Linked DNA regions of Cricetulus griseus. The protein of the gene in region 1 purifies or fractionates together with the protein of each later gene. This does not show direct contact. Links are inferred from orthologs where the notes say so. Each region holds a gene or a part of one and is shown on either strand. Other genes may lie near its edges. The genes, in order: Pkmyt1 and Cks2.

Evidence for each region.
Region 2: the proteins of Pkmyt1 (region 1) and Cks2 purify together in Homo sapiens (affinity purification with mass spectrometry; 3 studies listed by BioGRID and IntAct, counting the BioPlex papers as one, with this or other methods). This does not show direct contact. The link is inferred for Cricetulus griseus from reciprocal best matches to the Homo sapiens genes PKMYT1 and CKS2.

Annotation. Positions count from the first base shown.
Region 1 is NC_048600.1:43,243,987-43,248,390, reverse strand, and holds the start of Pkmyt1 (membrane-associated tyrosine- and threonine-specific cdc2-inhibitory kinase), read right to left. Parts: upstream 3,113-4,404; 5' UTR 2,886-3,112; intron 2,803-2,885; exon of another isoform or gene 2,243-2,802; intron 1-2,242. UniProt on the Homo sapiens protein: Acts as a negative regulator of entry into mitosis (G2 to M transition) by phosphorylation of the CDK1 kinase specifically when CDK1 is complexed to cyclins. Mediates phosphorylation of CDK1 predominantly on 'Thr-14'. Also involved in Golgi fragmentation.
Region 2 is NC_048596.1:270,595,859-270,599,379, forward strand, and holds the end of Cks2 (cyclin-dependent kinases regulatory subunit 2), read left to right. Parts: intron 1-51; exon of another isoform or gene 52-188; intron 189-1,043; coding exon 1,044-1,171; intron 1,172-2,410; coding exon 2,411-2,463; 3' UTR 2,464-2,736; downstream 2,737-3,521. UniProt on the Homo sapiens protein: Binds to the catalytic subunit of the cyclin dependent kinases and is essential for their biological function.

The DNA.
Region 1 (4,404 bases):
TTCAGCTCAGCCTTTTTCTAACACAGAAAACAAACCCCTGTTCAACCTCTCCAAATTGGTCTGCAGATTCAGTACAATCCCTGTCAGAATCCCATCTGGCTTCATTACAGAAAACAATGAGCATGCCGGTCGGTGGTGGCATACACATTTAATCCCAGCACTCTGGGAGGCAGAGGCAGGTGGATCGCTGTGAGTTCAGAGAACAGCCTAGAAAGAGCTGATTCTATAATTCATGTGGATGTTCAAACCCCCTACCCCACCAAAGTCAAACTCTCATATAGGACTAAATTTGGAAGACTTATACTTCCAGATTTTCAAAGTTTCTTCAAATCCACAGTTAATTGAAACAATTCATTCATAAAAAAATGAAGGGGATAGAATTAAGAATTCCAAAATTTATGGTTTAATCATTTTTCTTTGAAGTTGGGCAGAGTGTTACTCATCTTTAGCCCCAGCACTCAGGAGGCTGAGGCAAGAGGATCTCTGTGATTTTGAAGCCAGCCTGTTCTACATAGCAAGTTCCAGGATAGCCAGAGCTACATAGAGTGACCCTGTCTCAAAAGAAAAATTTCCCCCCTTGTCTTGTGTTTTTGTTTGTTTGTTTGTTTGTTTTCCAAGACAGGGACTCATCATGTAGTCCAAGCTAGCTTTGAACAACTTCCTGCCTCACTCTCCAGAGAGCTGGAATTATTTTCAAAGTTAGTGCCAAACAACCCAAAAGGAAAGAAGTCTTTTCAAGAAATAATAGAGACAACTGGGTAGCTTCATGAAAAATTTAGGAAAAAAAAATTGACTATCTATTCTCACTCAGTGTGTGTATTTATAATTTTATTTTGTTTTGAGAAAAAGTCTATGAAGCCCAGACTGACCTTGAATTTGTAGCAATCCTCCTGCCTCGGTCTTGCAAGTGCTGGGATTACTGACATGAACCACCACAGCTGATTTTCACTGACAGAAATATTAGTGTTTGATCTTGGATGCTGCAGACTCACTAGTGGTCTTACAAATATATGCTTTCTTATGATGCCTTTTTAAAAGCTATTATTTATTTATGGCAGTAGGGAGTAAACCAAAGGCCTAACACATGTTAGGCAAGCATTCTACCAGAACTACATCCTTGTCCCTACATCTGTGCTTTCTAAATCTGAGCCCATAGTAGCTTTCTAAATTTATTTATTTATTTAGTTAGTTAGTTTTTCCGAGACAAGGTCTAAAGGCTTCAAACTTGTTGTGCAGCCAAGGATAACTGTGTCCTTCTACCACCATCTCCAGTGTGCTAGGATCACAAGCATGTACCATTATACCCAGTTTATGCAGTGCTTGGAATGAAGCTCCGGGCATCATTCATGTTAGGTAACAGCTATATCAACACACTTACTAATATAACCCCCATGCCCTAAATCTGGGATATTTTGAATTATGAAGAACACCTGGCATGACGAGTTTGTGAACTTGCAATTCTGCACTGACCTACAAAAAGCTGAAGGATTTAAGACTGGTGTCTGGCATAAATGCAAACTGTGATCATAACCGGTGCTTTAGTTAGTAATTGAAACGACTCAAGCACAGTGGTACCACCGTGTCAATAATTGTGTGCCTGTTGGGAAAAGAGGAGCATCAGGTTGCTACAATGTTATCCTTGAAACAAAAAACAAGTTGAAAGCAATTTTAGGGGAAAACACAATGTATCAAAATTTCCCACACCTCGTTGAGGGTAGTGGCTAGATCAAATTACTTGGAGAATGATTAGCCTAGTGAGGTTAGGGACTTAAATTAAGAGGCTTGGCTGGAAGGCTCTCTTGCTATAACTCTATTTACTTCAAGAATCCCATCCCAGAGCTGGCCTGGGCTTAACGGCCTAGCTAGCATGGTCAGGGCCCTGTATTTGGTCCCCACCACAAATAAATAAATAAATAAATAAATAGTTCTTAGAGGAACCAGACTGTCAGGATCCATGATCATGCTGGTTAAACATGCAGCCTTGAAGGAAGGGAGGGATGGCTCAGAGGTTAAGAGCACTTGTTGCCCCTCCAGAGGACCCAGTTCTGATTCCCAACATTCATACAGTGACTCACAAGCATCTGTAACTCCAGCTCAGGGGATCTGACACCCTTTTCTGGCTTATGTGGGCACCAGGCACGACGAACATGGTGCACAGATACACATGCAGACAAAAATATACATAAAAAAAGAAATACTTAAAAAAAATAGTCCCCATGCCTAGCACAGGGGAAGCCATCACCTTCTGTCTTCAGCCGGGAAGACCGGCCCCTCTCAAAGTCATTTATGTTTTAACACCTCTGACTTGGCCAAACCGCCTTTATGGGATGAGAAGGGTTGGCAGTAGAGTCCTGGCTGAGTCCAGAGTGGCCCTGAGCCACTGACCAGTCAGGGTGACCTCCCCGTTTCCAGGGGCCTCACCCTCTCATTGGGCTGGACACATTTGTTGACCACCGTCTAGCGCTAGATTTTGAGATCCTCCCGAGCAGCGCTGCTGCTGCTGCTGCTGGATTCGCTCCGTGGGCGAGGGGAGACGATTGCGTAGACCCGCTGTCACCCACCCGGAAGAGGCTCTTCCCAGAGAGATGAGGTAAGAGAGAGGTAGTGCTGGGGAAAGGACTTCCAGTGGGGAGGGACGGGCAGTCACCTAGAGCGGCCCGCGGGAGTAGGCGGGGCGTGGGCGACAGCGCTGACCCGGAGTCACCCGAGGGCCAGTCGGCCCGTGACAAACAGGGAGGGGTGGGGCTGCTGCAGAAGGGCGACCGGCCACTGAGGGGAGGCCGGAGGGCCGTCTCGGGGCGCAGCGCGGCAGGAGCGCGGGGCAAGGCGCCGGGCGGAAGAGCGGCGCGGCCCGGAGCCCTCCTCTCACCCGGGTGTGGGCTCACCTGCGGAGGCTGGGCGGGGCGGGGCGCGGCGCAGCAGCGAGGTCCCAGGTTCCGGGTCGGCGGAGGCCGCTGAGGGCCTCACAGAGGCCAGACAGGCTGGGGTCCCGGCAGCGGCGCCTCTGAACACCGGGACGAAGCACTCTCTCAGAAGGGGAACGGCCCGTGAACGCGCGCGGAGCCAGCTCGCGCCAAAAATTCCAAACCGGCCTCGAGGCCCCGCCCAGGATCGCCCGTGGCCCCGCCCCCTGGCGCAGCTCGTCGGGCCCCGGCATTGGCTCCGCCTCGCGTCCTGCGTGCGCACCGAGGCCTCCCCACCCCCAAGCCTAGCCGAGCGCCCTCACTGCGCAGGCGCAACCCTTCTGGGCGTGTTGCTGCCCCGGGAGCTAAATTCTTAATCCTGGACGCCGGCTGGGATCGCTCCTTGACTCCCTCAAGATCCCCAGGACTTTTGTCAGCCTCCAGATTTTGGTTCCCACAATCGCTGCCCTCTGTGGGCTGCCTTAATTCTCGCGTCCATAAAAGGGGCAGGCAGGGCCCTGCATCCAAGTGGCGTTTCCTCAGGAAGTCAAGTGCCCTGCTACACATAATCTTATATACATTTGGACGCCGATCCTCGTCACAGCAGGATAGCCACGGCGAGCGCCTCTTCTAAGAAGCTGGAGCTTCCTTGTGCCCAAGCTTCTTCTGGAGAAGAAAGATGAACCAGGGGCCTATGCTGCTTGTATTTTAAATAAAATTCTCTTCAAATAGTGTTTGTGTAAAGGAAAGCTACTATTTCAGAAGACATATAAATAATTAGAAAATTAAAGACAGCAAATTATAATGGGTAAGGGAAAAGGTACAGCTTTTTGTTTGTTTTTGTTTGTTTTTTTGAGACAGGGTTTCTCTGTGGCTTTGAAGGCTGTCCTGGAACTAGCTCTTGTAGACCAGGCTGGTCTCGAACTCACAGAGATCATCCTGCCTCTGCCTCCCAAGTGTTGGGACTAAAGGCGTAGGCCACCAACACCCAGCTTTAGGGCTACTTTCTGCCAGCCCTTTTTTTTCTGGACAGGCCCCATCCCCTTCCAACTGTCTGTTCCTCAAAGTTTAATTCATAATGATTGAAACAAACAAAACAACAAAACAATGCAGTGGTACATGCCTATACCTCAAGCACAGAGGTGGCTGAGGCAAAAAGATCATGTGAACTCAGAAATTGGAAGCTAGTTGGGCACTATAACAAGACCCCTTTCTCAAAAGTCTATCAAACAAATGAGTTAGGCAGAGTGTTGCAGATGTGTAAATCCCTGCATTGGGGAATCTGGTGAGAATGAGGCAGGAGGATCTCTGAGTTTAAGGCCACCCTGGTCTATATCAGAAGTTCCAGGCAAGTCAGGGCTACATAGTGATACCCTGTCTCAAGGAGGGGCAGAGTTTTTGCAACTCGAACCCTGTCTCATAAAGGAAATGGGGATGGGAGTGAAATGGCTAGGCTGTCAGCTGAATGGCACATTTCTTGCCTAACATGGGTGAAGCCCTA
Region 2 (3,521 bases), on another chromosome or scaffold:
GAGTACGGATTTGTTTGTACATATATTTGTTAAAAATTGTATGTATTTGTTTTGGCCCTGAATCAAGGCCAGCAGTTTGCTGGAGCTGTTGGTTTCAAGCAGGAGCCTAAAGAAATGTCTTCCTATGGTCTGTTGGCCATTTCAGAAATTTGGAAATCTAATGGTCAATTCATTAGAAAGAAACAAACTGACTGGATGTTGTATGCAGTTCTGTAATTGTAGTACTAGGGAGCCTGAGTTGAAAACAAGGAATTTGAGGCCAACCTGCTCAACAGGAAGGAGAATGCCCCTCCCCATGAAACAGCTGAGTCATTGGTGATAGATGTGGTGGCTGATAAGTCTTAATAATATTCCAAATATAATACTTCTGCATATACAAGAACTTGCATATACAAGAACTTGTATCTACTGCAGATCTAGTATTTGTGTAACAGAAAACACGTTAACTGTCCGTTCTTCCCACTCCTTTAGTAATCCCAGTTTGGGGTGACTACTTATCCTGGGACTAGGATCCTTTCTTACTCTTTCCTATGTAACTATTATAATTGCCTCTGGCTTTAGCTGCTGTTCTAGCTATCTAGATACCATCAGTCTGTATCCAACAGAAGATGTGGCTACGTTTTTAACTTTGGTGTAATCTTTCTCTTAGAGTATGATTCTCAGTATTTTCTGCCTATATTTTGTGGACCAAGGGTTGTTTCATGACCAAAAGTAGCTGTAGAAGAGGGTGACCGTATTCCTGGAAGATTACTCAAAGGGAAATATTCTGTTAGAAAGTTAACCCTAAAGAATAAAGTGCCTTTCATTTCTGTGCAGCTTACTCTATTGGTCTAATACTTGAACATAAGCCCTCAAAAGCCACAGTATAGTTTATAGGGAATACCCAAGATTGATGCAAATAGTACTGTAATCTAGAGTTGCTTTAAAGAAATCAGCTTGTTTTGAGGACAAACCCTTCAAAATTATAAGTGTCTCAAAGGTACGAATATAAAGTGATAATGGTGGAAAGACATAGCACTAATCTGTGGCTGAATCTTTGACAGGCATGTCATGCTACCCAGAGAACTTTCCAAACAAGTACCAAAAACTCATCTGATGTCTGAAGAGGAGTGGAGGAGACTTGGTGTCCAACAGAGTCTAGGTTGGGTTCATTACATGATTCATGAGCCAGGTAAGCTTTGCTATAAAGTACTAAGTAAATACAGTTGTTAAGAGTCAACTTTTTAAAAACACAAGTATTCGGTGTTAACTAAAAGTAACTGAGAAGCTCAACTAGTTTTGTAAATGAATGATTCCTTACTCCTGAATAATGTTCTGTTTTCTATAGTAATATATAAGAATGACAGTAATACATTATCTACTTGTAAAAGTGACTTAACCAATTTATTCAGCATAAAACAATTGTTTAAATTCTGTGCCTATATAGAAATTGATGCAATTAGATGTGATTTTTTTCTTCCTTTAGCTCTTTTAGAGAATTATTTACCATATTAAGGTCAAATGAGATAGGCATATAAACACAAATTCTCCTGTATCATACATGTCTCTTATGCTAGTATATGGTATCGACCAACATTTTCTAGATATTAAGTAGTAAACTAGACTAAAGCTTTGTGGTGTTTAAGTTCTAGCTTAGAACTATAGATTACTAACTAATGGTGGGCACAAAATTTGAAGACATACTACAAAAACAGATAAAATTAAAGCTCTTTTTGTATTTGTAAAGATAAACAATATTGTTAAACTCTTGAGTCTGTGTTAAAACTTTGAAGGGACTATGACAGATACTTAAGAGTTCGAAGATCCTACTACAAAAAATGGAGGAACTTAACTATAGATTCCCAGCCTTCCTCACACTGAATTGGGAGGTACTGTACGGACTCCTGGTTTAGTTATCTTTATCTTTTTGTATTGAAGCTTCCTACAGAGTCCAAACTTGACTGGAACTCTCCATCCTTAGCTAAGTGTGGGGATTATAGGAATACAGCACAATTCCTTGCTTTCTGGTGGCTTGTTTTGTGTGCTGAGATTGGACCTTTGTACTTTCTAGGCAAACACACCACCATATATACTATATACAGCTATTCTATGCCATATGTGTGTGTCCAACTTTGTGGTGATTTTTTTCTGAAGTGCATTGGCATGATTTTTTTCTGAAGTGCAGTAGCTAGCTAGCTACTTTGAATGAGACTCCCTTTTGCCAAAGAGATAACATTTCTCTTTTCACTGGAAATGAGGTTTTACAGGTAGAAACCATTCTCTCCAGAGTAAGCTAAAGACTTAAAATAGTGGAGAAATGCTATTATGAGATAGTTTGCCTATGTTTAGTGTTTATTATTAATTTTAAAACACTTTAAACAGTGACTGGTTGTTGGCATGAAACTTAATGATGAATATTTCCTTTCCACAGAGCCGCATATTCTTCTCTTTAGACGACCTCTTCCAAAAGAACAACAAAAATGAAGTGCAGCTGGGATCGCTTAATCTTTTTCAAATTTAATGTATATGTGTATATAAGGTAGTATTCAGTGAATACTTGAAAACTGTACAAATCTTTCATCCATACCTGTGCATGAGCTGTATTCTTCACAGCAACAGAGCTCAGTTAATGCAACTGCAAGTAGGTTATTTTAAGTTGTTCGAGATAAATTTCCTTGTAGTTTTTTCTTAATATAAGTAGTGCCTGTTTTACTTTACCTGTTACTTTTGTTAATAAAGTTTGTATGTTGCATTTATCACTATTGTAGAAATTAATTGACTTGACTCAATAATCTTACCCCTGAAAGAAATAAACATACTTGAAAAAGAAATACTAAGGTACAAATGATGGGATTATTGGGGATATTTAACCTAGAGTCAAAATAGACTTTCACTTTATTGATATTCTAACCCTACTTAATACTTACTACTTGTTTGTGTCCACAATGTCTCCAAAACACTAGTGGTTTCAGAGAAAACTGTTTTATTAAGAAGCACTGAAAGCTGGGTGGTGCCTTTAATCCCAACACTCAGAGGCAGAGAGGCGGGTCTCTGGAGTTTGAGGCCAGCCTGGTCTACAAAGTTCCAGGACAGGCCCAAAGCTACAGAGAAACCCTGTCTTGAAAAACCAAAAAAGGAAAAATAAGCACGGAAACACCATATGTATGCATTTGGACTGTCTTTGTCGGCCAGGAAATTAAGTGTAGACACATTAGTGGATTACCATGAGAAATGTATGCATGAATGGCCAGGAACATAAGACCCTGAATAGGCCGGGCAGTGGTGATACACACCTTGAATCTCATCGAGGCAGAGGCAGGCGAATCTATTGTTCAAGGCCAGTCTGGTCTTGAAAGAGTTGAGTTCCAAGATAGCCAGGGCTACATAGAGAAACCCTGTCTTGACCATCCCCCCCCCCAAAAGAAAAGCCCCCGATTAGATTAACAAGGGTGACTTCACACATAGTAAACACCCATGAGCAAGCCTTTGGTGTATGCGGTATGGTAAACCTGTGGGACCTACCTGAACCAGTACTGAAACTG